7 linked regions of the Canis lupus familiaris genome follow. The protein of the gene in region 1 interacts with the protein of each later gene in a pairwise test. Links are inferred from orthologs where the notes say so. Each region holds a gene or a part of one and is shown in the gene's direction. Other genes may lie near its edges. The genes, in order: TRIM27, PSMB3, ZGPAT, MRRF, EHHADH, USP2 and EIF3D.

Evidence for each region.
Region 2: the proteins of TRIM27 (region 1) and PSMB3 interact in binary tests that used the Homo sapiens proteins (3 or more experiments, as listed by UniProt). The two-hybrid records come from large-scale screens. The link is inferred for Canis lupus familiaris from reciprocal best matches to the Homo sapiens genes TRIM27 and PSMB3.
Region 3: the proteins of TRIM27 (region 1) and ZGPAT interact in binary tests that used the Homo sapiens proteins (3 or more experiments, as listed by UniProt). The two-hybrid records come from large-scale screens. The link is inferred for Canis lupus familiaris from reciprocal best matches to the Homo sapiens genes TRIM27 and ZGPAT.
Region 4: the proteins of TRIM27 (region 1) and MRRF interact in a two-hybrid assay, tested with the Homo sapiens proteins (2 studies listed by IntAct). The link is inferred for Canis lupus familiaris from reciprocal best matches to the Homo sapiens genes TRIM27 and MRRF.
Region 5: the proteins of TRIM27 (region 1) and EHHADH interact in binary tests that used the Homo sapiens proteins (3 or more experiments, as listed by UniProt). The two-hybrid records come from large-scale screens. The link is inferred for Canis lupus familiaris from reciprocal best matches to the Homo sapiens genes TRIM27 and EHHADH.
Region 6: the proteins of TRIM27 (region 1) and USP2 interact in binary tests that used the Homo sapiens proteins (3 or more experiments, as listed by UniProt). The link is inferred for Canis lupus familiaris from reciprocal best matches to the Homo sapiens genes TRIM27 and USP2.
Region 7: the proteins of TRIM27 (region 1) and EIF3D interact in binary tests that used the Homo sapiens proteins (3 or more experiments, as listed by UniProt). The two-hybrid records come from large-scale screens. The link is inferred for Canis lupus familiaris from reciprocal best matches to the Homo sapiens genes TRIM27 and EIF3D.

What each region holds. Positions count from the first base shown.
Region 1 is NC_049256.1:27,394,762-27,398,261, reverse strand, and holds part of TRIM27 (zinc finger protein RFP), read left to right. Parts: intron 1-1,712; coding exon 1,713-1,735; intron 1,736-3,325; coding exon 3,326-3,441; intron 3,442-3,500. UniProt on the Homo sapiens protein: E3 ubiquitin-protein ligase that mediates ubiquitination of various substrates and thereby plays a role in diffent processes including proliferation, innate immunity, apoptosis, immune response or autophagy.
Region 2 is NC_049230.1:23,432,526-23,436,025, reverse strand, and holds part of PSMB3 (proteasome subunit beta type-3), read left to right. Parts: intron 1-590; coding exon 591-698; intron 699-3,500. UniProt on the Homo sapiens protein: Non-catalytic component of the 20S core proteasome complex involved in the proteolytic degradation of most intracellular proteins. This complex plays numerous essential roles within the cell by associating with different regulatory particles.
Region 3 is NC_049245.1:48,102,665-48,106,681, forward strand, and holds the start of ZGPAT (zinc finger CCCH-type with G patch domain-containing protein), read left to right. Parts: upstream 1-1,217; 5' UTR 1,218-1,275; intron 1,276-1,469; 5' UTR 1,470-1,493; coding exon 1,494-2,086; intron 2,087-4,017. Other genes in the region: ARFRP1 (ADP-ribosylation factor-related protein 1), read right to left, coding at 174-256, 410-497, 626-718. UniProt on the Homo sapiens protein: Transcription repressor that specifically binds the 5'-GGAG[GA]A[GA]A-3' consensus sequence. Represses transcription by recruiting the chromatin multiprotein complex NuRD to target promoters.
Region 4 is NC_049230.1:60,391,866-60,395,365, reverse strand, and holds part of MRRF (ribosome-recycling factor, mitochondrial), read left to right. Parts: intron 1-1,487; coding exon 1,488-1,643; intron 1,644-3,500. UniProt on the Homo sapiens protein: Responsible for the disassembly of ribosomes from messenger RNA at the termination of mitochondrial protein biosynthesis. Acts in collaboration with GFM2. Promotes mitochondrial ribosome recycling by dissolution of intersubunit contacts.
Region 5 is NC_049255.1:18,226,678-18,230,177, reverse strand, and holds part of EHHADH (peroxisomal bifunctional enzyme), read left to right. Parts: intron 1-1,739; coding exon 1,740-1,912; intron 1,913-3,500. UniProt on the Homo sapiens protein: Peroxisomal trifunctional enzyme possessing 2-enoyl-CoA hydratase, 3-hydroxyacyl-CoA dehydrogenase, and delta 3, delta 2-enoyl-CoA isomerase activities. Catalyzes two of the four reactions of the long chain fatty acids peroxisomal beta-oxidation pathway.
Region 6 is NC_049226.1:14,550,286-14,554,409, forward strand, and holds the start of USP2 (ubiquitin carboxyl-terminal hydrolase 2), read left to right. Parts: upstream 1-1,324; 5' UTR 1,325-1,482; exon of another isoform or gene 1,483-4,124. UniProt on the Homo sapiens protein: Hydrolase that deubiquitinates polyubiquitinated target proteins such as MDM2, MDM4 and CCND1. Isoform 1 and isoform 4 possess both ubiquitin-specific peptidase and isopeptidase activities.
Region 7 is NC_049231.1:28,897,657-28,901,156, forward strand, and holds part of EIF3D (eukaryotic translation initiation factor 3 subunit D), read left to right. Parts: exon of another isoform or gene 1-856; coding exon 857-989; exon of another isoform or gene 990-1,539; coding exon 1,540-1,687; exon of another isoform or gene 1,688-2,460; coding exon 2,461-2,591; exon of another isoform or gene 2,592-3,450; coding exon 3,451-3,500. UniProt on the Homo sapiens protein: mRNA cap-binding component of the eukaryotic translation initiation factor 3 (eIF-3) complex, a complex required for several steps in the initiation of protein synthesis of a specialized repertoire of mRNAs.

The sequences.
Region 1 (3,500 bases):
CCCTAGGTGGCGCAGCGGTTTAGCGCCTGCCTTTGGCCCAGGGTGCGATCCTGGAGACCCGGGATCGAATCCCACGTCGGGCTCCCTGCATGGAGCCTGCTTCTCCCTCTGCCTGTGTCTCTGCCTGCCTTTCTCTCTCTCTCTCTCTCTCTCTCTCTCTCTGTGACTATCATGAATAATAAATAAAATTAAAAAAAAAAAAAACTTATAAAAAAAAAAAAAAAAAAAGAATTGCCCCAGTAAGGGGCAACTGAGTATCATGTACCTTTAGAAGGATATACCACTGGGTGCCTGGGTAACTCAGTTGGTTAAGTATTGGACTCTTGTTTCAGCTCAAGTCTTGATATCAGGGTCCTGGGATTAAGCCCTGCATCAGGCTCCATGCTCATTGGGGCATCTGCTTCTCCCTCTGCCTCTACCCCTCCCCCCTGCTTGTGCGTTCTGTCTCTCAAATAAATAAGTGAAATCTTAAAAAAAAAAAAAAGAAGAAGAAGAAGAAGAAGAAGAACATACCATACACCAGTTAAAGATGATACAGCCTGGATTTAATCATGAGGGGAATATCTGACAAACTCCAAAGGAAGGATGATATCCTGTAGAATAAACAACCTATATTAAACCAGTGTCAGTGTCACAAAAGACAAATCAGCCCTAAGGAGCCATTCCAGATATGCATGGTGATAGCTGAGTGTGGTGAATGGTCATGGATTACCGAGCAGGGAAGAGAGTAGCTGAAGATCACTTTATTAAGGTGATTGGTTAAGGGCCTGCCTTTGGCCCAGGGTGCAGTCCTGGAGTCCCGGGATTGAGTCCCACGTCAGGCTTCTGGCATGGAGCCTGCTTCTCCCTCTGCCTATGTCTCTGCCTCTCTCTCTCTCTCTCTCTACGTCTATCATGAATAAATAAATATAATCTTAAAAAAAATAAGGTGATTGGTTAAACTAGAGTATGGACTGGGTTAGATAAAGGTTTTCTTAGATCATTGATCATTAGATCCATGTTCCTTATTCTGGATTGAATAACTACTGTGGTTATGTGAGAAAATGTACTTATCCTTAGGAAAAACACACAGAAGTATTAACGGGGCAAAGATACAGCATAGAATGTAAATAGTGATCTCTCAAATGGTTCTGCATATAAATGTGGTTATAAAATCTGGAAAATTGGGGATCCCTGGGTGGCTCGGCGGTTTGGTGCCTGCCTTCAGCTCAGGGTGTGGTCCCGGGATCAGGTCCCACATCAAGCTCCTTGCATGGAGCCTGCTTCTCCCTCTGCCTGTGTCTCTGCCTCTCTCTCTCTCTCTCGAATAAATGAATAAAATCTTAAAAAAAAAATCTGGAAAGTCTGGGAAGGGGTATCCAGGAGCTCTGTACTAGCAGCTTTTCTGTGTATTTGAAATTATTTCACAATAAAAAGTTAAAGCAAGCTGGACAAGTAGGCAGTTGTGGTCTGAGGGTGGGATACTGGAGTTTGGAAATTTGAAATCGTGAGATCCTGGGCCAGTGGGGCAGAAGCAGGACAGAGGAGATGCTGGGAGTGCAAACTGTGCATCTCACTTTGCTCACCCTGACTCTAGGTCCTGGGCTGAGTTGTGGTCCTTGTCTCCCTGGCTTTTCGTAGGAGGGCCAGCTGGTTCCTGGGTTTCCAACCAACATCTGAAGGAAAACTGAAGCTACGAAGGTCTCATGGTTATCTTTTCCTTTCTCTTGTAGGACATCGGGGACACACTGAGCAGGTACGGTGTTCTCTCTCTCCAGTGCTCAGTCACACAGGAGGATGTTTCCCTTAGACTCATAAATCCTGAAAGGAGCCAGAGAAGGACATCTGACGAGAGTGAAACACAGCCTGCCCGTCTCTGGACCAAGTCACTGGTGTGCAGAGAGCTGGATGGACCACAGTTCTGCTTAGTAAACTCAGGAATTACTGACAAACTGCGGGTGAATGAGTACCTGTGATTTGTGAGGACACATCTGTGGAGAGCAAAGGCTCACACAGAGCTGGCCAAAGTGCAAGGGTTTCAGAGTCCTCTCCCCAACTGTATGATGGGGAAAATATGGCCTAAGAGGAGTGTGGGTGGCTCAGAGTTGCAGAATCAGTGCTAACTTACCTGATACAGGCTCCTGTTCTCATTCCTTCTTGGCTGTGTGATCTGATGGGGACGGGGAGGAGCGGGCCAGATGCCAAAGTTCACCTGTGTTTGCAGGACAGACAGGGGCCCATGGGCTGGGGTTTGGTGCAGCAGCATCTACAGGGGCAGAGGCTGACTTAGAAGGAGCTGAACTTTCAGATTGTTTAAAACACTGCACAGTACAAGCCCTCCAGAGAAATGAGCTGGGCCAGGGCCTCATAGATAGAGTAGGTTGGCTGGGAGTGCCACATGGAGAGATTCTGGGGTAAAATCGAGGGTTTGAGGGAGATGAATTGGAGCGTGTCCAGTCCCAGCCAGATGGCCCCAGTGATCCCTGCCCTTACAGTCACTGATGCCGGTCCAGTTCTGGCCTGACATGGGGAGATAGACCCTTCAGAGCCCAGCGTTTTATGACATTAATGTTGGGGTCTGGCTGTATGAGATAGGAAACCAAAAATTTCGTTGGCTTAAAGCTGAAACATAATTTCAGAAATTGCCACCTGTGAGGAAGGTGCAGGTAGGTAGCCAGGGGCGGAGCAGGGAGTTTCCTTCTTTCCGCTCTCCTGCTGTCCTTGAAGTCCCGGTCCAGGATGGTTGCTGGAACGCCAGGCAGCATGAGGGTGATAAGTACGTCACAGCACGCTCCCCCTGAAGTAGGCTTCGCAGATTGCCATGAGACACTCCTTCCCTCTTACTGGCCAGAGCTCAGTCACAGGGTTGCATCTAGACGGGGCAGCCGTGAGCGTGGTGTAACTTGGGAGATGGGATATTGGGGAGGCAGCTGGCAGTCATGGATCATGGACCCCCTGAACAGGGTGGGTGCCAATCTGCCTGAAAAGGGTTCTTACCTCTGGATTGTTGCCCACCATGAAGCTCAAGGACTTTGTCATGGAATCTTTTGCTTTCTGGCACGGTCAGCCTTCTATTCGGTTTAATTCAGTAAACCTTTTTGAGGACAAGCCATTTGAAAATCCATGAGCTAGGTCCTGTTGGGGGAATGGAGATGAGGAAGCTGTTTCTCCTGCTTTTGTCCAGAGGATCACAGTCTAGGCAGAGAAGAGGGAAAAGGCTGTAGGGGCTGCTTTAAACATTGTTGGTCATTTTAACCCAGACTTTGTCTGGGCTTCTGAAGTCATAGGGTTAGAGGAGGGGAGGGATTTACTCCTTTTTTTTTTTTTTTTTTTCTTTTTTTTTTAGAGCTGAAAGAATCCGGATCCCTGAGCCCTGGATCACACCTCCAGATCTGCAGGAGAAAATCCACATTTTTGCACAAAAATGTCTGTTCTTGACGGAAAGTCTGAAGCAGTTCACAGGTAACAGGAAGATAGGGATCCCTTAGGGGAAATGCATTCATGCTCTGAATATCTGTCTT
Region 2 (3,500 bases), on another chromosome or scaffold:
TTGTTTTGTTTTGTTTTTGGTCCACTGCTCTTTTGACTGTCATTTCCCATCTGTGTGTCTGCAGGTAGACTCTTGCCAAGAGTGTAGAGGAGCTGTGTATTTTATGGTATATAAATTGTCCCTCAAGAAAGAGAGGCAAAGGGGATGCCTAGGTGGCTCAGTGGTTGGGCGTCTGCCTTTGGCTCAGGTCGTGATCCTGGGGTCCTGGGATCAAATTCCGCATGGGCTCCCCATGGGGAGCCTGCTTCTGTCTCTGCCTCTCTCTGTGTGTCTCATGAATAAATAAATAAAAATTTTAAAATTTTAAAAAAGAAAGGCAAAATCTGTTCCTTACTTCCCCTCACCTCAGCAAAAGGTATGGGAAGAGAGGTATTACAGAATGGTATGTTTACAGGTGGTAAATGTTGGATAATCTGAAACATGGACGTGAGGCTGGACTTCCGGTGAGAAAAATCACTGGGAGGGAAAGAGAAGAGTCTTGTCAGGGGGAGGCGATTGTGTGTCTCCCTACATACATCCTGACCTCCAGGGGGTGGACACCAGGGGACCATTCACTTGTGACTTACTACCTGACTTTTCTTCTGTCACAGTGCCCAGCGTCTCAAGTTCCGGCTAAACCTGTATGAGCTGAAGGAAGGCCGGCAGATCAAGCCCTACACACTCATGAGCATGGTGGCCAACCTCTTGTATGAGAAACGGTGAGCGGAGTGTAGCCTGGGACTTGGGGAATGCAGAAACCTTGGGCCGAGTAGGCACGTGGTATGGAGAGATGCCTGGGAAGGTTCCTCTGCCTCCCGTTTCTTGTTTGCAGGGTGATAACCTTACTTTTTGGGTCTGTTTTCCATGGGCCTTTCTGATAACCAAATAGGACAGGAACAGTTACTTCAGAAGAAGACAAGGAATGCAAATAGCAGACAAACTTGTTTCCAGGCAACAGAATTAACCCTTCCAGAGAGTGCCCTGGAGTCTCCCAGCCAGGAGCCATCCTGACTCCAGAGCTAATTCTGTTGGCACTAGATTCTCGGGACCTAGGAATGGAGTTTTCTTTGAAGACTTCATGATGAGGAAAGTAAAGGCCTAGGCACAGAATCCAGTGCAGAAGCAGAAATTAAAGAAGAGCCCCACGGGGACTTTTCCACTCATCTCTGGGCTACACTGGGTGGCAGAAAGACAAGTGGGATTCTTTTGTTTTCTTTTTTCTTTTTAAACTTTTTATTTTAAGATAATTTCAAACTTTGTGGAAAAGTTACAGAAGTACTCTTTAGCTCTTACAACTAAGTCTTTGCCATTTCCATACGTGGAGCAATACTGTTGCCTTTTTAGTATACAATCTAAAAACCTATAGGGATCCCTGGGTGGCGCAGCGGTTTAGCGCCTGCCTTTGGCCCAGGGCGCGATCCTGGAGACCCGGGATCGAATCCCACGTCGGGCTCCCGGTGCATGGAGCCTGCTTCTCCCTCTGCCTCTGTCTCTGTCTCTCTCTCTCTCTCTGTATGACTATCATAAATAAATAAAAGTTAAAAAAATAAAAAAAATAAAAATAAAAATAAAAATAAAAATAAAAACCTATAAAACGATTGCGTATTTCTAGGTGTGGTAATATCTATCCTCAGATGTGTATTGTCTGCCATGTATGGTAACCATGTTTATCAAAATCCTGAATTGACAAAGGCCTAAATGATTTTTAAAACTGATTTATAGAGGGGGACAATGTCTTATACAGTCCTAAAGATAACTCACATTTAGGTATATTTGTAATGGCTCATATTGTTGTTTTTAAGTAAATTCTACATAAATCCATCATAGAGCTTGAGTTCACAACCAGGGTAGTGAATTCAGGCCCCACATTGGGTGCACAGATTACTTTAAATAAAAAAGTAAACTTAAGGGATCCCTGGGTGGCGCAGCGGTTTGGCGCCTGCCTTTGGCCCAGGGCACGATCCTGGAGACCCGGGATCGAGTCCCACGTCGGGCTCCCAGTGCATGGAGCCTGCTTCTCCCTCTGCCTGTGTCTCTGCCTCTCTCTCTCTCTCTCTCTGTGTGACTATCATAAATAAATAAAAATTTATTTGAAAAAAAAAGTAAACTTAAAAAAGAAACCCACAAATGGAGTCACATGCTCTACCAACTTAGCTACTTTGTTTATTGAAAATAAGAAAAACGCAGAACATTGAGGCTGACCTGGAAAATTCTAGGTTCTTAGCTAGCCAGGAGCTTTCTCTATAAGCCCAGCTGAAGTCAGTGACTTTCCAGCAGGATAGGCTAGTGCTGTGATTTGCAAATTTGAGCAATGTGCAAAGCCTTTTTCAAAGAAAAAACTTCCCGTGGTCCCAGAGAATCCATCCAAGTACCTCTCTTTGTGAGACATTGTCCGTAAAAGTTATTACATTCGGGTGGAACCTTGGTCAGTGTGACTTGATGTCTAAATGCTGACCCTGAACTGTGTTTTGTATTTAGTTTTAAGATTGTCACTTGAAGGGGCACCTGGGTGGCTCAGTGGTTGAGCGTCTGCCTTTGGCTCAGGTCAAGTCCTGCATCAGGCTCCCCTCTGCTTATGTCTCTGTGTGTCTCATGAATAAATGCAATCTTAAGAAAAAAAAAAAAAAAGTCGCCCAAATAATCTAGAATATTCTTATATGTATTTACAGTTTATTGTAAACTAAATACAGGATTTCAATTTTTTAAAAAGATTTTATTTATTTTAGATAGAGCATGAATAAGGGAGAAGGGCAGAGAGAAAGAAGCAGACTCCCCACTGACCAGGGAGCCCAATGTGGGACTCGATCGCAGGACCCTGGGATGACAACCTGAGCTGAAGGCAGACGCTCAACCACTGAGCCATCCAGGTGCCCCTGGATTTTAAATTTCTTAAATAAGTTGATACCCAGGCATCTGTTCAAGAAACAAGGGTTCAAAGCACACTATCTCAACCCCTTCATGTTACAATTAACTAGGTTTTTGTCTTTAGAATTTTCTTTTGTAGAGCTGTAATTGAAGGTCATACTCTTAGATATTACTGAGAACTGGTATAAGACATGGATAAGTAAAGACAAAACATCTTAGTTACTGTTTCTATTGAGACTAGTGGTCATTAGTTTCTGAGTATTTTTTTTTTTATTTTTTTTAGTTTCTGAGTATTTTATAGAGAGATTCCAGAGATTAATTCTTCTCGAAGCTCAGGATCTAGAACAAGGTTTTGGGTTTTTGTTTTTGTTTTTGTTTTAGATTTTATTTATTCATGAGCAATACCCAGAGGCTGAGACACAGGCAGAGGGAGAAGCAGGCTCCCCATCAGGAGCTCAACGCGGGACTTGATGCAGGACTTGATCCTAGGATCAGGATCACACCCTGAGCCAAAGGCGGACACTCAACTACTGAGCCATCTAACCGTCCCCTAGAACAAGTAACTGATAATCTCCTATTTCCTTGTAGGCACAGGCAGACAAGGAAATAACCCAACTCGATGAGTGTCCTTTGCCTTGCCTGCCAGGAGACTCACA
Region 3 (4,017 bases), on another chromosome or scaffold:
GTTAAAAGGGAACTGGCAGGTCCTCGCTCTCGAGGGTGGGGGCAACGGGGGAGCTGGGACAGGGCTGGGGGGAGCCTCAGGGACACAGTGGGGGACGGAGCTGAGGGGAGGCTGGGCCGGGGGTGTCCCTGGAGGAAGCGGTGCGAGGGGCGGCCTGGGCACGGCCGGCTTACCTTGTCCCACAGCGACTGCAGCTCTTCCTGGCCCCCCAGGTCCCAAAACATGAGGCGAGCCTTTCCCACGTCCACAGTGCCGACTGCGGGGAGAGGACAGAGGACAGCACAGGCTGGGGACCCGCTGCCACGCGCCGCCTCCCGGCCAGGCCAGGGACGGGCGGCTCTGGGCTCCCCGAGGCGGCCCGGGCGGCCCCCCAAGCCCTCCGCCCCGGGGGGGGGGGGGGGGGCCTTACTGTTGAGACCCACGGTGGTCGTGATCTTGGAGAGACTCATTCCCTTGTAGTTCTTGTTAAAGCGGGTTTTCGACTGTTCCAGGAACGTCTGCGAAGAGACGCGCGCGGGAGGTGAGGGCGGCTTCCCCGGTGTCCGGTGTCCGTCCCGGGCGGGCGGGGGGCGCGTGGGGGCGGGCGGGGCCGCCCGGAGGGGGAGGGCCGGGGGCGGGCACCCACCGTCTTGCCCGCATTGTCCAGCCCCAGGATCAGGACGCAGTACTCGTCCTTCTGGAACATGTACTTGTAGAGGCCGGACAGCAGCGTGTACATCCTGCCTGCGCAGCGGAGGCGGCGGTCGCGGCGGGCTGGGAGCCGGGGCGCTCCCCTCCCCCCCCTCCCCTCCCCCTCCCCCCGCGCCCCCGCCCCCGAAGGCCCGCCGTGACGTCAGGCTCCCCGGGCTGACGACGCCCCCGCCCCAGCAGGTGCCCGGCGGCCGCGCAGCGGGAGCCCCTGGCGGCGTCCGAACCCCCCCCCCCGAAGCCGGGCTGCGAGGCGGCGGCCGGCGGGCGTCGCGGCCCGACGGCGGGTGCGGCCCCCGAGGCCCCGCCCCGCCCCCCCCGCCCCGGGGCGACCGGCCCGCGCTACCTGGCGCCCGTCGGGGCCGCGGAGCCGCCCGCGCCTGACCTCGCCGACCCGCGCCGACCCCGCGCTGACCTCGCGCGGCGCCCGACGGGACGCAGGCCGCGGGGGGGAGGGGCCGTCCCGACGCTCCCCGCGCGCCGCGTCCCGGCGTCCCCCGCGCGAGGCACTTCCGGCGGCGGCGGCGCCCGGGAGGAAGTGCCGGTGGGCTGCGAGGGCGGAGGCGGGGGCGCCGGCCGCTCTAGCCGGTGAGGCCGGCGGGGCTCTATGGCGGCGGCCCGGAGCCCGCGCGGAGGCGGGGCCCGGCCCGGGCGAGGGGGCGCGGTCTGGGGCGACGGGGCCGGGGCCCGAGGCGACGGGGCGGGCGGAGCGGGCCGGGCCGCGGCGGGGGCGGGGCGGGGCGGGGGGCGGCGCGGCGCTCAGCGGCTCCCCGTCGTTGCAGCCGCGCCGCCCGCCGGGCCGCAGGATGGACGAGGAGAGCCTGCAGGCCGCGCTGCACACCTATGACGCGCAGCTGCAGCAGGTGGAGCTGGCGCTGGGCGCCGGCCTGGAGCCCTCGGAGCTGGCCGACCTGCGGCAGCTGCGCGGCGACCTCCAGGAGCTCATCGAGCTCACCGAGGCCAGCCTGGTGTCCGTCCGGAAGAGCAAGCTGCTGGCCGCGCTGGACGGGGAGCGCGCGGCCCCGGGCGACGCCGACAGCCGGGGCTCCCAGCAGGCGGGGCCCGCAGCGCCCGCAGCCCCCGGGGCCGCGCCGGACACGGCTCCCGAGCGCGAGCGCCAGCCCGAGCCGGCACCCAGCGGGCCCGGGCAGGGGGAGGAGGAGCGGGCCGGCGACGAGGACGGCGACGAGGAGGAGGCGCTGAGCGGCCGCAAGGTGAACGCGCCGTACTACAGCTCCTGGGGCACGCTGGAGTACCACAACGCCATGATCGTGGGCACCGAGGCGGCGCGCGACGGCTCTGCGGGCGTGCGGGTGCTCTACCTCTACCCCACGCACAAGTCCCTGAAGCCCTGCCCCTTCTTCCTGGAGGGCAAGTGCCGCTTCCAGGACAGCTGCAGGTGAGTCCGGGGCAGGGGCGCAGGTAGGCCGCGCCGTCCTGGGAGGCACGGTGCCCCACCCTTCGCTGCTCTGGTTCTTTCGGGGGAAGCTTGCAAAATGCAGTGTCGCAGCCCCGCAGGGCCCGGCGTGGGGCCGCCCGCTGCCCCCTTCGCCGCTGATCAGCCCTTCCTTGCCAGGCTCGTGTTTGCTCTCTCCTTTGTCTTCCTCTTGTTTGCCTGCACCGTGTAAAGGAAACCGTAGAAGTCACTGGTTTCTTTTTTTTTTTTTTCTTTCATCAATCGATGCTCAAGGGTCGCATCCCTGACAAATCCGTAAGTTGGATCTTGTTCATGATGAGATTCACACGACTGTGGCAACGGTGTCACTCTTTCCTTAAAATGCCCGACTCGGCTTTTGCTCCTTATCGCTTCCATCTGTGGAAGGAATGTTTACCAAGTCTTGCAGATGATTTTCTTTTTGAGTCAATAACCCAGGGAAACTCTCTCTAGTCCTTTGGTCTTTGTCTTTGCTTACGGACCGTTGCTGGGTCCAGAGCGTCCTTTAACACGATTTTCCACAATCCTTTCTTTCCTTGTAAGTCTGATTACAGTGTGGCACCCGTACGGGAAGGTGCGTAAATCATGAAACGTACTGGAGTTTTCACAAAGCAGACCCATCCATGTGCTGCTGAACAAACAGGTCAGAGAACAGACCAGCAAGCCCTCTCGTCCTCTCTGCCGTTACCCTCTGGGTGCCTCCACGGGCCCGGGTGATGCCCCTTGTGACGATGAGAGCTGACGTGTCCGTGTGCTGTTCCTCTAGGCCAGGCTCCGGGCCAGGAGTTTCACGTGTGTTGACCCCTCCGTGCAGCAAGCCCCAGGGGTGGGCCCCACCACGGCTAAGGTTGCCTGGCACAGACGGCGGCACGAGCGAGCCTGCAGCGGGCACAGGCTAGCTTTGCCTCGGCCCCCAACTGCTGTGCCTTGCTCTGTTGTGTTAGCTATAGGCCCGACTGGCACAGCCTACGACAGCCACTTGCCACTGCCAGACAGATCAACGCTTTTCTTGCATTGCTTTGCATTTTTATTTTATTTATTTTTTAAAGATTTATTTGTGAGAGAGAGAGGGAGGGAGTATGCACCCTCCGTGTAGGGAGAGCCAGAAGGAGAGAGGGAGAGAATGTCAAGCAAACTCCCTGCTCAGCTCGGAGCCGACCCTGAGATCAGGACCTGAGCAGGACCTGAGCAGACGCTCTTAGCTCAGTAACCCACTGAGCTACCCAGGCGCCCCTGCTTTGTATTTTTAAAAATAGCTGTGTCACAGCCCCTTCTCCTCCCAGGCTGTGATCACAACTCCCTTGTGTTTACCTCTAGCAGATGTTAGCTCTCCGCAGACAGGAGCCTATATGAGAAGAGTAACTTTTTGTGCTACTTTTGAAACAAATGGTGTCACACAGGATGGTTTATTTTGCAACTTGCTTTTTTCACTAAGCAGGGATGTGAGAGGGCATCTGTGCTGGTATCTCCAGAGCTGTTTAATTGGTTTTAACTGCTATGTTCTTTTCTCTCACAAATGTGCCACATTTTATTATGTTCCTTTCTGATGTTTTCCAGTTTTTGTCTGTTACAAACAGCTTGCTGTGAACATCTTAGTAGCGTCTTCTTCTGTACCTGCCTGAGAATTTCCCTAGTATGGGACCGGTGTGTCGAGAGTGTGCAGAGTTCCCGCTTCCGTATGAAGGCCGGTGCCTCGTCCCTCATCCTCTCTATCACTGCCGATTCCTGCCTGCTGAGCGCTGGGAAAATGGGATCATGGTTGAATTTGTGTTTCCTTGGTTCCTAGTGAGATACAGTATTTTTTCGTTCATTTTTTATAGCTTAAGGTCTGTATTTCAATTTCTTTATCTGTAAAACAAACGAGAGTTGTCTTTCATAGTTGTTGGGACAATGGA
Region 4 (3,500 bases), on another chromosome or scaffold:
TCTCTGCGTCTCTCATGAATAAATAAATAAAATCTTAAAAAATATATATATACTCTAGAAATATCACAGGATCTGGCCCACTGTAGATGTTCAATGAAATTTGTTGTGAATAAATCTCAATAAATATTTGTCAAATAGGGATCCCTGGGTGGCGCAGCGGTTTGGCGCCTGCCTTTGGCCTGGGGCGCGATCCTGGAGACCCGGGATCGAATCCCACGTCGGGCTCCCTGCATGGAGCCTGCTTCTCCCTCTGCCTATGTCTCTGCCTCTCTGTCTCTCTCTGTGTGACTACCATGAATAAATAAATAAAATCTTTAAAAAAAAAAATTTGTCAAATAGTTAACAAATGTAAGATAGTATTACTTAGTATTTTTACTTTTTTTTTTCCCCTTCACCTACTTTCCATGAAGAAAGGCAGGAATATTTGTATTACTCATGGGAGTGATCTATATATATAGAATGTATATGGAAAAAGAACTGGTGGCTTAGGCATAAAATCAAATTTTATTCAGCTGCCATTGCTATTGATTTTCTGAAATACAAACCATTGTTATTACCACTAGTGGTGTTTATTTTATTATTTTTTAAAGATTTTATTTATCTACTCATCAGAGAGCACGCGCGCGCACACACACGAGAAGGGGGGGCGGGCTGGCAGAGACACAGGCAGAGGGAGAAGCAGGCTCTATGCAGGGAGCCCGATGCGGGATTTGATCTCCGGACTCCAGGATCATGCCCTGGACCGGAGGCAGGTGCTAAACCGCTGAGCCACCCAGGGATTCCCCCACTAGTGGTGTTTAATATTTGTTAACTACTGTTGTTCTTTTTATCTGTCCTGGCTATCAGATACTTTGCATATCCTCCCTTAGTATTCATTTTAAAATGAATTAATATGTTTCCTGTGTCTCCAATTAGATTTTTCAGAGACAATCTAATGGAAAGTTCTTGGATTTAAAATTAGACAGATCTGGGACCAAATCTTGGCTTTACAATTCCAGGACCTTATGACATTAGGCAAATCACTTTACCTTTCTCATTTTCAGTTTATTTTTCTAAAAAATAAGGAATTCATTTATGGAGTGCCTGCCATATGGACAGTGCTCTTTTAGGTATTTGAATTACTTAATTTGTATCATAGCAACCTGGCAGTACAGATATTATCCCTGTTTCACAGGCAAGAAACCCGATACTCAGAAAAGTAGAGTAACTTGCCCAAAGTCATAAAACTGGTATTCATCATAGTCAGGATTTTCACCTGAAGTATTTCATTATAAAACCTGTGTCTTCACTAGTATCTCAGAAAGTGATTAGCACAGTTCTGGGGACCTAGTGAACAATAATTAAAGTTCTTTCTTAGGATACTGTTAATGTACAATTTTTTAGCACTTGGCATTTTTTCCCTGCACTTAGTAGGTACTTCTTCACTAATTGTTTATTATCTCTGTCTATGCTGCTGTTCTTTTATTCAATGATTGTTGACTTTCTAGCCAAAGGGAAAGGACAGTTCCAAACCAGAGTGAATCTTAATGCTGCCTTGGTTGAGGATATAATCAACTTGGAAGAGGTGGATGAAGAAATGAAGTCTGTGATGGAAGCACTCAAAGATAATTTCAATAAAACTATCAGTATAAGGACCTCACCAGGTTAGTGACTGAACCAAAGTTTTGGAGAGGGGCATAGTGGAAAGATCATGGCTTTGGCAGAGCTGGGTTTCAGTCCCAGTTTTGTTACTTACTTACTAACTGGTGACCATGGACAATTACTTTACTTTTCTGGTCCTCAGTTTCCTTGTCTAATTCCTACTTTATATCTTTGGGGTAGGTATTAAAATAAATACAGAATGGTTGGAGCACAGTGCCTGGCTCATAGTTAACAGTAATACCTGATTCATCCATTTAGCAAATATTTGTCTACTCTGAAGTAAGTATTATGCTGGTACACAGTAGTGAACAAAAAATAGGCATAGTCTTTGCTCTCATGGAATTGCACTCTCAGAAAATGGGAGTTTTATTATGGTTATGCTATATAAACATTTTTGGGTATTTAATCTCACAGTAACTGACATCTTTGGTCTGATTTTTCCGATTTATCCTATTTGGCCATTCTTATGGCTTTCTGGGAACCAAGTGGCTGCAAACCTATCCATCTGAGGCATATCTGTACCCCTGAGTTTGACCAGGAAGATTCCGTTTGGGTTAATAACTTCCTGAAAGTGGCTTTTCTAAGTGGGAAATGTCAGAACTGTCTAGGAGAACTGTTTGCAGATGTGATGGAAGAAGTGAGTTGTCAGCTAATGGTGCAGGCAGGCAGGAAAAATCCAATTGCTATTAAATTGGCCTTTTGGAAATTGTCATCATCCTAGAGTCAAGCCTGAGACCCCCTCTGAAGTTATCTCTGGGAGCTTGGGCTGCTCCCACTCACATCTTGGTTGGGATAGTTCCTAAGGAAACTAGAAAATATTTTGTGAACTTGTTCTTAAGAAAACCAAGTGAAAAATATACAGCTCCATTTATAAACACCAGGAGAAACATACTGAGTTCAGAGAGACGAGATCCTATGTGAAATCAGAAGACCATTCCGTCATTTGTCAAACTTTGGACTAGGGCATTTCTGCCTTTGCTGGCAGTAGAGCGTGCCATTCAATCTCTCCCAACTGTTTATTTTAAACTTGCTTATTATTTTAGGTATGAAACTGATAAAGTGCTTTGTCTCCCCTGTGCTTTCTGGCCTGTTAACATTCTGCAGCCGAAACCAGAGAGCAGTTTGAGAGGAGCTCAGGGAGAAATGTGATACTTAAAATTAGCCAGCAAGCTCCACTCTTGTTGAACTTAAAAAGATGATGGGCCTGGAAAGAGGTAGGGAGTGTAATTTGTTAAATGTTAACCTCTGAGAAAATGAGGGGCAGAAATGAGGCTGAGGGAGATTCTCGCTGGGGACAGATTGAGGGAAAAGGATTTGATGCATTATGTCGATATGTATTTAGGGAATGGGAACCACCACAATTGCATACTGAAAAGCCCACGTTGCAACTTCTGTGGCAAAGGATCTTATGGCAAATCAGGAAAGCTGAGCTAAGATCCATTTTCAAAAGGCCTCCCATTGGTATTTCCTCTTTGCCTCCTTCTCTTCAGGGTTATGTTTGTGTAACGTTCTCCGTAGAACTTGGGGCCATGAAGAGACTGGGTGAAACTGAACTTAGCCAGTCTTCTGCATGCCAAATTTTACATATCCTCTTTCATTACTATCCGAACCAGCAGGCACTTTTCCTTTCACACCTCCAGCTGTCTACCAGCAATTTCTATCTCTAAAGAAGTTGATTGCTCTTAATAGTTGTCTAAGGTATAGATTTATTCATGTGTTTGTTCTTACCCTTTTCCATTCATTTGTCCATCTACACACTTATGTATTCACCAAAATGTTATTGAGCACTTACACTGTGCTGATTAATAGGTGCTGTAGATACAGAAAGAAAAGACATTGTTCCTACCTTCCAAGAGCCT
Region 5 (3,500 bases), on another chromosome or scaffold:
TTTTTTCTGCATATTAAATCAATATCCAAAAATTAATTGCATTTCTATATGCCAGAAATACACAGTGAAAACATGAAATCACTGTACTCTTGTTTGTGCCTTGGTTTCTGTAAAATGGAATAAAAGTACTAACCTTACACTGCAAGTAGAAGAATGCAGTATACATTTAAGAATGTGGGCTATGTAGTTAAATTGCTGGAGTTCAAGTTCTTATTCTACCCATAATTAACTGCTCATGTGTTTGAACTACCACCTAACAGCACAAATCCTTAACTTCCTGACCTGTGAAATGAGGATCATTATACTACTTAACCTAGGTGTTAAGAAAATTAAATAAAAGAGCATCAGAAACTACTTAGCATGGTGCCTGGTGTAAAGTATTTATCCAATACATGCTAACTGCTATTAGGACATGAAAATCATTTAAATCTAAAGTTACAGGACTGATAGGCCTAAGATGCAGGTTGAAATAGATCTTGTTACTCTCTTTTTTAAAAAATATTTGATTTATTTATTCATGAGAGACACAGAGAGAGAGAGAGAGAGAGAGAGGCAGAGACACAGGCAGAGGGAGAAGCAGGCTCCATGCAGGGAGCCTGGTGTGGGACTTGATTCCGGTACTTTGGGATCATGTCCTGAGCCAAAGGCAGACACTCAACCACTGAGCCACCCAGGTGTCCCATAGATCTTGTTTCTCTTAAACCAAAAAGGAATCTACATAACTATGACAATAGATTAGAATGTGAATATGATAGATTGGTAAGAAAAAAACATAATGCTAGGTAAGGAGTGGGTAGAAACAAAAAGATGAATAGCCTGAATGTGAAATAATTGCTTTAACTTTTTAACGTATACCAAGCTTAATGTTTTTAAAGAGTAGATAATCAATAGGGAAAATGCTCAGTATTTATAATGTTATGTAGAAAAAGGAAAATATGAAAAATAATGTTACAGAATGCTGTCAATATTGTTAAATATATATTATAGTATACTTCCGCTTAATTCTCTGGTAAGTCATTTAAGGCAGGTGTTGAGGGCAGCCTGAGTGGCTCAGTGGTTTAGCGCCTGCCTTAGGCCCAGCGTGTGATCCTGGAGACCCAGGATCAAGTCCCACGTCGGGCTCCCTGCATGGGGCCTACCCAGCACTCCACCTCACAACCCTGAGATCATGACCTGAGCCGAAACTAAGAGTTGGATGCTGAACCGAATGAGCTACCCAGGGGCCCTTGACTTTTTAAATTTTTTTAAAGGTAGAGTTGTTATCTGTCACATGGAAAGACAGATTTTATTTTATTTTATTTTATTTTATTTTATTTTATTTTATTTTATTTTAGATTGTATTTATTCATGAGAGACACACAGAGAGAGAGGCAGAGACACAGGCAGAGGGAGAAGCAGGAGGAAGAGCAGGCTCCATGCAGGGAGCCTGACGTTGGACTCGATCCCAAGTCTCCAGGATCAGGCCCTGGGCTGAAGGCAGCACTAAACCACTGAACCACCCGGGCTGCCCTGGAAAGACAGATTTTAGAAGATTACAGGATTCCTGGTCAAGATTTGAGGATTTTCTCCCATGTTGTTCTACATTTTCTAGGTTGATTTTCCTTCACTGTGTGTCCAACTAAAGAATAAAATGTTTCATGGGCCCAAAGAGGTTCCTTGAGAGTTATCTGTTACATAATTGTTATGTTAACAAAGCCCAGATCTTTCTCAGCTCTCTTTTTCTTTGTCTATGTCCTTAGGTGCTGATATCCACAGCTTTGGTGAGCCCAGAAAGTCTGACTTTGTACTAGGACATATAGTAGATGAAATACAGAGAACTGAGAAGCCCGTGGTGGCAGCTATTCAAGGCCTGGCTTTAGGAGGGGGACTGGAGCTGGCGCTGGGCTGTCACTATAGGATTGCTCATGCAGAGGTAACAGCTCAAGCTCGATATGGGGCTTGGTGTGGGAGGCTTTTTTTTAAGTCAAAATCTAAATGCTGTGTAAGCCTCAGAGGTGAGCATTTTAAAAGACTAGTTCACTGGTTGACAACTCCTGTATTTTTAGTGATGGTTTTTCAGCTGTCACATACCAGCACAGTAGTAGTAGTTGAAATATGACCATTCTAATGGGTAAATAGCTATTAGTCTGAGCCTGTGACTGTTCCTTTGCTTTCCCTAACCCTAGTCTTTGGGTTTCCCCAAGATCCACCAACTAAAAGGGAACTCCTGGGCCAGTACAGGGCCCCCAGGACTCTGCTTCAGTGGTATGGTCACATTCGGTTCATCTGAGCTGTGTTCATGAGATAAAAGGTTTAAAGTATTTTGACTATCATTCCTGAATATGCTTACTTATTTAAATTTTTATTTCCTATCTCAAAGGTTTCAGTTTTGTGGTCCCTCATAATTATCAGTACCCAGGAAGACAATTTCCTATTTGAAAATAGCACAAAACTGTAAATCTATTTGTTTCTAATAGATTGTAAATAGATTTAATTTGTCCTTTTAGATATGTAGATGAGGTCTGTGATACCAATCTTATAATGGTAACATTTTTGCAAGTAACATATTTTTCTACTTATAAAGATAACATTGATCATTGTAATAGACTAGGAAATACAGGAAACTATAAAGATGTAAACTAAAATCACCATATACTCACAGTTCGGAAATAACCACTGTTTGCATTCTATTTTGTTCTCTTCTGGTATTTTTCCTATTTAATATTTTGTCCTTACAGCTTTTTTTTCTTTGCTATCTTTTTAAAGTTTTATTTATTTATTTTAGAGAGAGAATGAGAATGTGCACACATGTGCCAAAGTGGGGGAAAGGCAGAAGGGAGAGAACCTTTAGGCAGACTCCCCACTGAGCTCAGAGCCCTGCTCAAGGCTCGATCTCACAACCTATGAGATCATGACCTGAGCTGAAACCAAGAATTGGACACTTAACTGATTGAGCCACTCAGGCTCCCCTAATTTGCCTTCACTTTCAAAGCTAGTTTTGCCAGGTATAGAATTATTGTTTGACAGGTTTTTTTCTTTCAGTGCTTTGCCTATGTCATCCCACTGCCTTTTGGCCTCCATGGTTTCTGATGAGAAATTTGCTGTTAATCTTATTTTAAATAGTCTTTAAAAATATTGTTTTAAATGGATGTATAGTTTTGTTATATATATATATATGTTATATATATATGTTACATATATATATATTATTTAACCAAATCCTTATGGCATTTTAATTTTTATAAAGGCTTATGAATAAAGACATATATCCTAAGTGCTTGTTTTTCTGTGTCCCTCTTACCATGCCTTCTGCATACTGAGTGCAGACCTAAGTTATGAACAATAATAGGTCGATGGATGGGGATGATCAGTAGTGGAAAAAACCATGACTGACTGTTAGGAAAGCCTTGCAAGAGAGAGGCTCAAATATTTATTTTGAGCTTTGTGCAGGGGCAGTATCATAGCCAATGAAGTTTATCAAAAAATTTTTGAAGCTATTGGCATCACAATATGGGTTAATG
Region 6 (4,124 bases), on another chromosome or scaffold:
GGATTCCGGGGGATCCCTGGGTGGCTCAGCGGTTTGGCCCCCGCCTTCGTCCCAGGGCATGATCCTGGAGACCCAGGATCGTGTCCCACGTCGGGCTCCCTGCATGGAGCCTGCTTCTCCCCCTGCCTGTTTCTGCCTCTCTCTGTGTGTGTCTCGCACGAGTAAATAAATTCTTTTAAAAAAGAATGGATTCGGATATGTTTGCAGGCAGAAATTTAAGTATTTCCCTCCAGGTTGCCCCTAGTTTCTCTGGGAAATAGAAGACAAGGAGGGACTTTGAGAATGGTGATGGCCAGCTAGAGCAGCCATGGGGGCGGGGGAGGACATAAGGACACTTGGAAGAACCAACAAGCCAGGTGAAATTGAAAACCTGGGTTTAGGGGCGCCTGAGTGGTTCAGTGGGTTGTGTCTGCCTTTGGCTCAGGGCATGATCTTGGGGTCCTGGGATGGAGCCCCTTGTCAGGCTCCCTGCTCAACAGAGAGCCTGCTTCTCCCTCTCCCTCCGCCCCTCCCCTTGCTCGTGCTCGCTGTCAAATAAATAAAATCTTAAAAAAAAAAAAAAGAAATAAGAAGAAGAAGAAAAGAAAAAAAAAAAGAAAAGAAAACCTGGGTTTGCCTTGGCACCAATCTACCTGGCTGCGCGATTTTCTTCAACACCATGAAGACACAAACGAATGGGGGCAGGCGAAGTTCTGTCTCGGCCTTTTCTTGAAAAAGTAAAAAGACTCCCTTCCGCTAAGTGCCTCTGTTTACCCCCTCAGGGAGCCATCAGCAATCATCACCAATCACCGGTTCCATGTTAGCAAAATGAGCAGAGTGTGCTTCGGAGGAGAGAAAAGGAGGAGAGGCAAAGAACAGGCTCCCTCCCAGGCCGGTGGGAAGGAGCGGGAGCATTTGGCCTCCCCCAAACCTGGAAGCTGAGGTCTGTGTGTGTGTACGTGTGTGTACACGTGCAAACACACACACACCACACATACATACGCTTACACATACCCTCACACACACCCCCGGCGCCCAAGCCCCGGGCCTCCCCCCGCTACCTGCCCGCGGCCCGGGCCCCGCCCCCCGCCCCCCGCGGGCCCGCCTCCCACCGGCTCCGCCCCCTCCAAGCTCGCGCGCCGCTTTCCCGCCACGTGCCGCTCTGTATATACCCGTCGCCTGGGAGACGCCGGCCGGGCGGGGCTCCCCTGACGTCACACTGGGAACAAGCCAATCGCCGTGACGCGTCTCAGTGACGCGAGACGCGCGGTGGGGCTCTGCCGGCCGGGGCGCAATGAGGCGGCTGCCCGCTGGGTGGCGCCGATTTCCCGGGGAGGTCCTCACCCGGCCCCGGCGGAGGTGGGGGAGAGGCGGGCAGGAGCGAGGCCGGGGAGCCCTCTGCGTCAGCCGCTGCTCACTGCGCCGCGCCAGCACCAGCCGGGACTCACCCGCAGCTCCATGCCTGCGCCCGGCCCCACTCGTCCATCCTCGGAGAAGAGGCAGGTATGTGCCACCTGTCGGAGACCGGGGAGGAGGGATGCGGAGGTCAGCGCGGTCGGAGGCTCAGAAAGTGAGGTGTCAACGACAGCCTGGGTGGAATGGGCACCAGCTATGTAGGGCGAGCGCCCGCTGTGCGGAGGAGCTCCAGCTGTGGGCGCCAGTTGGGGGGGGGCTGCCAGCTGACAGCCCGGGGTGCCAGGAAGAGCCATCTGTGTGCTGATCACTGTGTTCTAAGGAAACCCTGCTTGGGCAGGTCCGGGGCTCTGTGCCCCGTGTGGTGTATGGCCTGAGAGTGACGCCTGGTCGCTGACAACCCCTTCCCCACGTGTGCGCCCAGTTCAAGCTCCGGCGGGCTCTCTCTGGTCAGTTTGCCAAAGGGGTGGGGGTGGGGGGAGGGCAGCAGTTAAGTGGAGGGGGAGATTTTCCACCAATCCCAAACCAGAGAGAGGCATCTTTGAAATTCTCACCAATCCCAAACCAGAAGCAGGCACGCGGTGCTCCAGGGCGAGTAACTTACACTTAGCCACGGGAAGCCCTGGCCAAGCCATTCTAGGTGGGACCCCCCCACCCCCCACGAGTGAACGTCTACCTCCTCATCTGGCAGCTTTTAGAATGGGGCTGAGCTGGAGATGGTGGTGATGTCCACCTCCCCAGGCATGGGCATGAGAAGGTCCCCGAGTCCAAACCCGCAAAGTGGAGGAGAGGAAAGCTGGTTAGGCTGGGTTGGGGCATCCCCCACTCCTCTGATACTGTAGATACGTGCCAAACTGGAGTCGGAATGACGATTGGAATGAGGGCCAGGGACGAGGGCGTCCTCTGAAGTGCATCACCAGGACCCAAGCTGAGTCAGTAGCCTCTGCTGAGACAGGGTGGAGGCACCATCCTGGGTACTCCCAGTCCTCAGGGAGAGCCATCGAGAAACAGGAGACACAGACTGGGAGCAGACAAGAGCACCAAGGCCCAAGAGGTTAAGAAAGAATCCTGCTCCATCCTCCTGTGAGCCTGCCCAGCCCAGCTCTGTGGCCTTGGAATCCTGAGCACTCCGACAGGTAGAGTGGAACCACCCCAGAGCAGCTTTCTCCTGGTAGCCTCGGGGCAGCTGCACTTGCTTTATTTTTCTAGGCAAAGGGGGAAAGGGCCGTAATCGACCTGGCTCTTCTCCACTGGATGGGCTGGACATCTGGGAATATAGCAAGAGTCATTGGCCCTTGCCAGTTATGGGACATGGAGCAGCTCAGAAAACCACGGGGCTATTGTCTAGTGTTAGAACTGAGCACTCCCAAGGGGTGGCCCAGAGGCCCTATTCTCCCTAGGAAGGCTTCCGTGGCAGGTGCAACTACAAATACTCCCATTAATTGTAACAATTAGTGGAAGTATTCAGCATAATCATTACTATCATTTATTGAAATTTTACCATGTGCCAGGAAATTTACAAATATTATTTAATTCTCACAATGGTGAGATATATAGCATTATTATACTCTTTACTCCTGTTTTACAGATCAAATCACTAAGGTCCAGACAGCTTACATGACTTGCCCACTGTCTCAGCCAATAAAAGGGAAAGAACTGGAATACAAGCCCAGGCCTAGAAAGAAGTCCATTATAAAAGAATTTGGAACCGAATGCCTGAGAGCAGGTCCCGCCTGTCACTACCTGTGCACCCCGGATCTCTAGGTCTCTACCTCAAAAGGGAGGATTTGCACCAGCACCGAGGCTTCCTCCTCTCCTTTCCTCTCCATTCCATCCCCATCCCTCTACCCTCTTTTCATTCGTCTCCCCTTGGATCCCTCTTCTGTTCCACTTCAAAATGCCCCCCTCCAAAGAGCCCTCCCACGATCTCCTTGCCTGGCAGTGGCCCACTGGGGCAACACCTCGAGGGAGGGCTGGCCACTGCCCCTTTAATTCTCCCCTGGCCTGGAATGCAAGTGAGTTGAGCTAGCCATCTCTGTGAGGTCAGATAAGATACTATATATATCGGAGTCCGTAACCTGAGCTCCGGATTACCCAGCCCCAGTCAGACTTCAGCCTCTGGGCTCTCTACCGCGCTCCCTGCCTTGCTGGGGAAGGAGAAGCCCCCAGATCCTGCCCAGTGCCCCCGGACACAGGTCAGTAGCTGCCCGTGTAGTATGTGAGCTTCATGGGGCCGCTGTCCAGGGAGCCCTTTGTGTTTGGGGGAGCATGTGAGAGGCTGCCCAACAGGGCCTGGAGGGTGCCTGGGGCAAGATGGAAGGCTCAGGCTCAGAGGGGGCAGGCAGAGGCAGGGAGAACAGGGCAAAGGCAAGCCCAAGAGGAAAGGGAGGGAGACGGGGACTCTGCCTGTGGAAGGGGCACCAGGAGAGCTCCCGACAGGGCCCGTTCCTTTGCCTTTTCTTGGAAGTGTAGAGATGCCTACCCCTCATCCCCCACCCCCCAGCCTCAAATCAAAAGGCATGCTATAGAGATAGTACCCTGGGCCTACTCCCTTCTCCACCAGTTAGGACCCTTGCCCTCATCTCCAATCTCTCTCATCCCTTCACTCCTCTCCCAGCCCTTGGGCAACTATTGGGAGCAAGAAAGAGATGGATCCAAATTCCCTTGAACGACCCCCTGCCAAGGCATGTAAGAGGATTAGGCACTCAACTGGTGGGTGGCTAGCTCGGCAC
Region 7 (3,500 bases), on another chromosome or scaffold:
TGTGGACCTGCTGCTGGTGACTTATGTTCCTAAGCCATAGTATTTCCAAAAGAGAATTTGAAGCTGCTAAGACATTGCACAAGATTAATGTGTTTTTAAAAATCAAGGCTAAGGCGAGACTAGGAGAAAGAAGTTCGCTGATGTTAAACTTGAGAGATTTCTTTCCACTTCCTGGCATCGTGAGCAAAAGAGAAATCAAGTTGTGTGGCTCTTTTGGCAAGAAGAGAGAGTAGTTTGTCAGAAGCAAAGCTTTTCCTGACATTACAAAGAGCTGTTTACCTCAAGTAGCAGATCAATGTCAGTGGGGACCGGAGTACCAGGTTAGAAGTCAGTGCATCTGGAGGCCTCTAGAACTACCTGTCTCTTCATCTTGGCCTCAGTCACCATGTCATTAAAATGTGGAGGTTGAGTCAATCAGTTTTGTTCATGCTGCTCTGTGGGGCCATATCCAGAGCTTAGGGGACGGGCCCTGAGTGAACTCTGAGAACTTGTCTTCTGTTCTCATCAAAGAAAAACCATTTCTTATTTTTTAGATTTCTGGATAAGAGTTTGGATTCAATGTCTTTTCGTTTTAAGATTTATTTTAGAGAGAACGCACACAAGCAAGGGGATGGGCAAAAGGAGAGGGAGAGAATCTCAAGCAGGCTCTGTCTCCCTGCTGAGTGTGGAGCCTGATATGGGCTTGATCTCACCACCCTGAGTTTATTACCTGAGCCAAAATTCAGAGTTGGCTGCTTAGTGGACTAAGCGACCCAGGCACCCTTCTATAATGGCTTTTAAAATACAAACAAAAAATAACAAAAGCAGCTGATGATCTTCCCGTTTCCTTTGTGTGTCTTCTCCACTGTCCCGTCAGCGAGTGTTGTGGTGCCCTGGAGTACTACGATAAAGCCTTCGACCGCATCACCACGAGGAGCGAGAAGCCGCTGCGGAGCATCAAGCGCATCTTCCACACTGTCACCACCACAGATGACCCTGTCATCCGAAAGGTGGGCACCCTGAAGGAGTGCTGCTGGCTTCTACAGTTGAGGCTGCAGAAGGAACAGCACACAGGCACATCCATGGATCTTGGGACCTCAGAAACCCTTTTAGACAAGATGCTCCCAAACGGGACAGGACTAGATGGGAATACAGGCACCTTGCTGGCTACACCATAATGTTGGGGTTAAGCGGAGGTGGACTCGAATCCCAGCTCTACCGGGCTCCCCCGCACCACCTACCTGAGGCCTTTTTTGCTTACCCATGAGATGGGTTGAATGTGCTTACCACCAGCCACTGGAGGCAGGACGAAAGCACTGCAAGGTGCCATCCTGGAATATGGCAAGTGCTCAGAGAGCTGCAGTCCCTGTATCCCAGGGTGGTGACTGGCCATGGAAGCTTGTGGGCTGGTTTGCCGGACTCACCCCTTAAGACAGGTTAGAGGGGTGTGCACGTGTGCTTGAAGGCAAGAAAGCTCCCTGCAGGGGAGTCCTCCGTGCACGTGGGCTGTTTGGCCTAAGTGTATCTTCACATCTCTCTTTCTCTCTGTCCTCTTTGCAGCTGGCAAAAACCCAGGGTAATGTGTTTGCCACTGATGCCATTCTGGCCACACTGATGAGTTGCACCCGCTCCGTGTATTCCTGGGACATTGTTGTGCAAAGAGTTGGGTCCAAGCTCTTCTTTGATAAAAGGGACAACTCTGATTTTGGTAAGAAGCCTGTCTGGGAGCAGCACAAGGTGTCAGGTGTTCTGTTGGTTTCGAGCAAGTCCCTGCTACTAGAGAGTGGACGGGAAGTGGTCTGTGTCCTCACAAGCACTGATGGCTGCAGCTGAATCCCTCCCCGCCTCCTCAGCGAAGGCCTGTCATGCACTACCTCCTCGAGGTGCCAGATTTCTGAGTCCTCCCATAGCCCCAATACTATGTGTGCAGGTGTTACTCATTTGAATGGCATTTTCCTGGCTTCTGTCAATGCTCCATACCACCTTTAACATTTATTCCATGTTTTCTTTAAATTAATGTTTCTTTTACCTTTATTTCAGTGTATTTATAAAGGGAAGATTACATGTGCATGTATTTGATAACAACATAAATGTGTATAGACACACCATGAAGGGAAACCATGTCACTGAAATTTGATAGCAGTGAGATGGAATGATATAATTACATTCCGCACCAGAGGCTTAGGACCTTCTTCTTGTTAAAAAGCTGACAAAATCAGATATTATTTTGAGGAATCCAAAGGGACTGAAAGGGGATCGTTGTCTTATGATGTGCTTGAATTTAATGTTAGAGAGGATCCGAAGTTACCCAGTAGTGCTTCCTGCTTCCTCGCCTCTGCACCCCGCGCTTGGGAGAGCTGGGTTAGCAGATGCTGGAAGGATGGGCCTGTGTTGCTGGGATCGTGGCCCCTCCCTGCATTGCCAGGCACATTGTTGATGACTCGGTTTCGCTGGTGGGTGACCACGCTGCCACTTTTGCAGACCTCCTGACAGTGAGTGAGACTGCCAATGAGCCCCCACAAGATGAAGGCAATTCCTTCAATTCACCCCGCAACTTGGCCATGGAAGCAACCTACATCAATCACAACTTCTCCCAGCAGTGCTTGAGAATGGTAAGGCGGAGAGAGCATCTGGGCACCAGATTCTCTTTTGTCCCCTTCCCAGTGTCCCCATTGAATATCTGCGTTGTGGTAGGCTGTGGGGTTGTGGGACTGAGCAGGGGCAGGCATGGTCTCTTCCTGTCACAGAAGAGCTCCAAGCTGTGGCTTTGAGGTCAGACTGCCTGACTGAACCCTAGATTCACCACTTCAGAGCTTTGTGGTGTGTGGTATGTTTCTTCTCTATAGGGTTAAAATACTAAGCATACCTGTCTCAGCCAGACAGGATGTAGAGGTTCTTTCAGGTGTTTGACAAACTTGCTGATTTATTTATTTATTTACTTATTTATTTATGATAGAGAGAGAGGCAGAGACACAGGCAGAGAGAGAAGCCCGCTCCATGCACCCGGAGCCCGACATGGGATTCGATCCCGGGTCTCCAGGATCGCACCCTGGGCCAAAGACAGGCGCCAAACTGCTGTGCCACCCAGGGATCCCCATGCTGTTTTATACAATATACTGTTTAGGTGCTGGAGATCTAGTAGTAATAAGCAAAGTTTCTGCCCTTAGGAGGCTTCATTATAACAGAAAGGAAAGATAGTAAACTAAACAAACCTATGTCATGTCGAGTGGTGGCATGTACTCTAGAAAAAGTGAAACAGGACAGTGGTCAGTCATGGCTGCGAATTCAGATACAGGGGGTCTGTGCTTGAAGTTGGGAGGAGTAAGCAGCCCACGACATAGTGCATGTGGAGCCCACCACCCCCTCAAGGGCTGCAGGGAGCCAGCCAGGACTGTAAGCTGAGTGCAGGGGCTGGTCCATGGGCTCAGCCACGGGTGCTTGCTGTCTCGTGACACCCTTGTCTGTTGGCAGGGGAAGGAAAGATACAACTTCCCTAACCCAAACCCATTTGTGGAGGACGA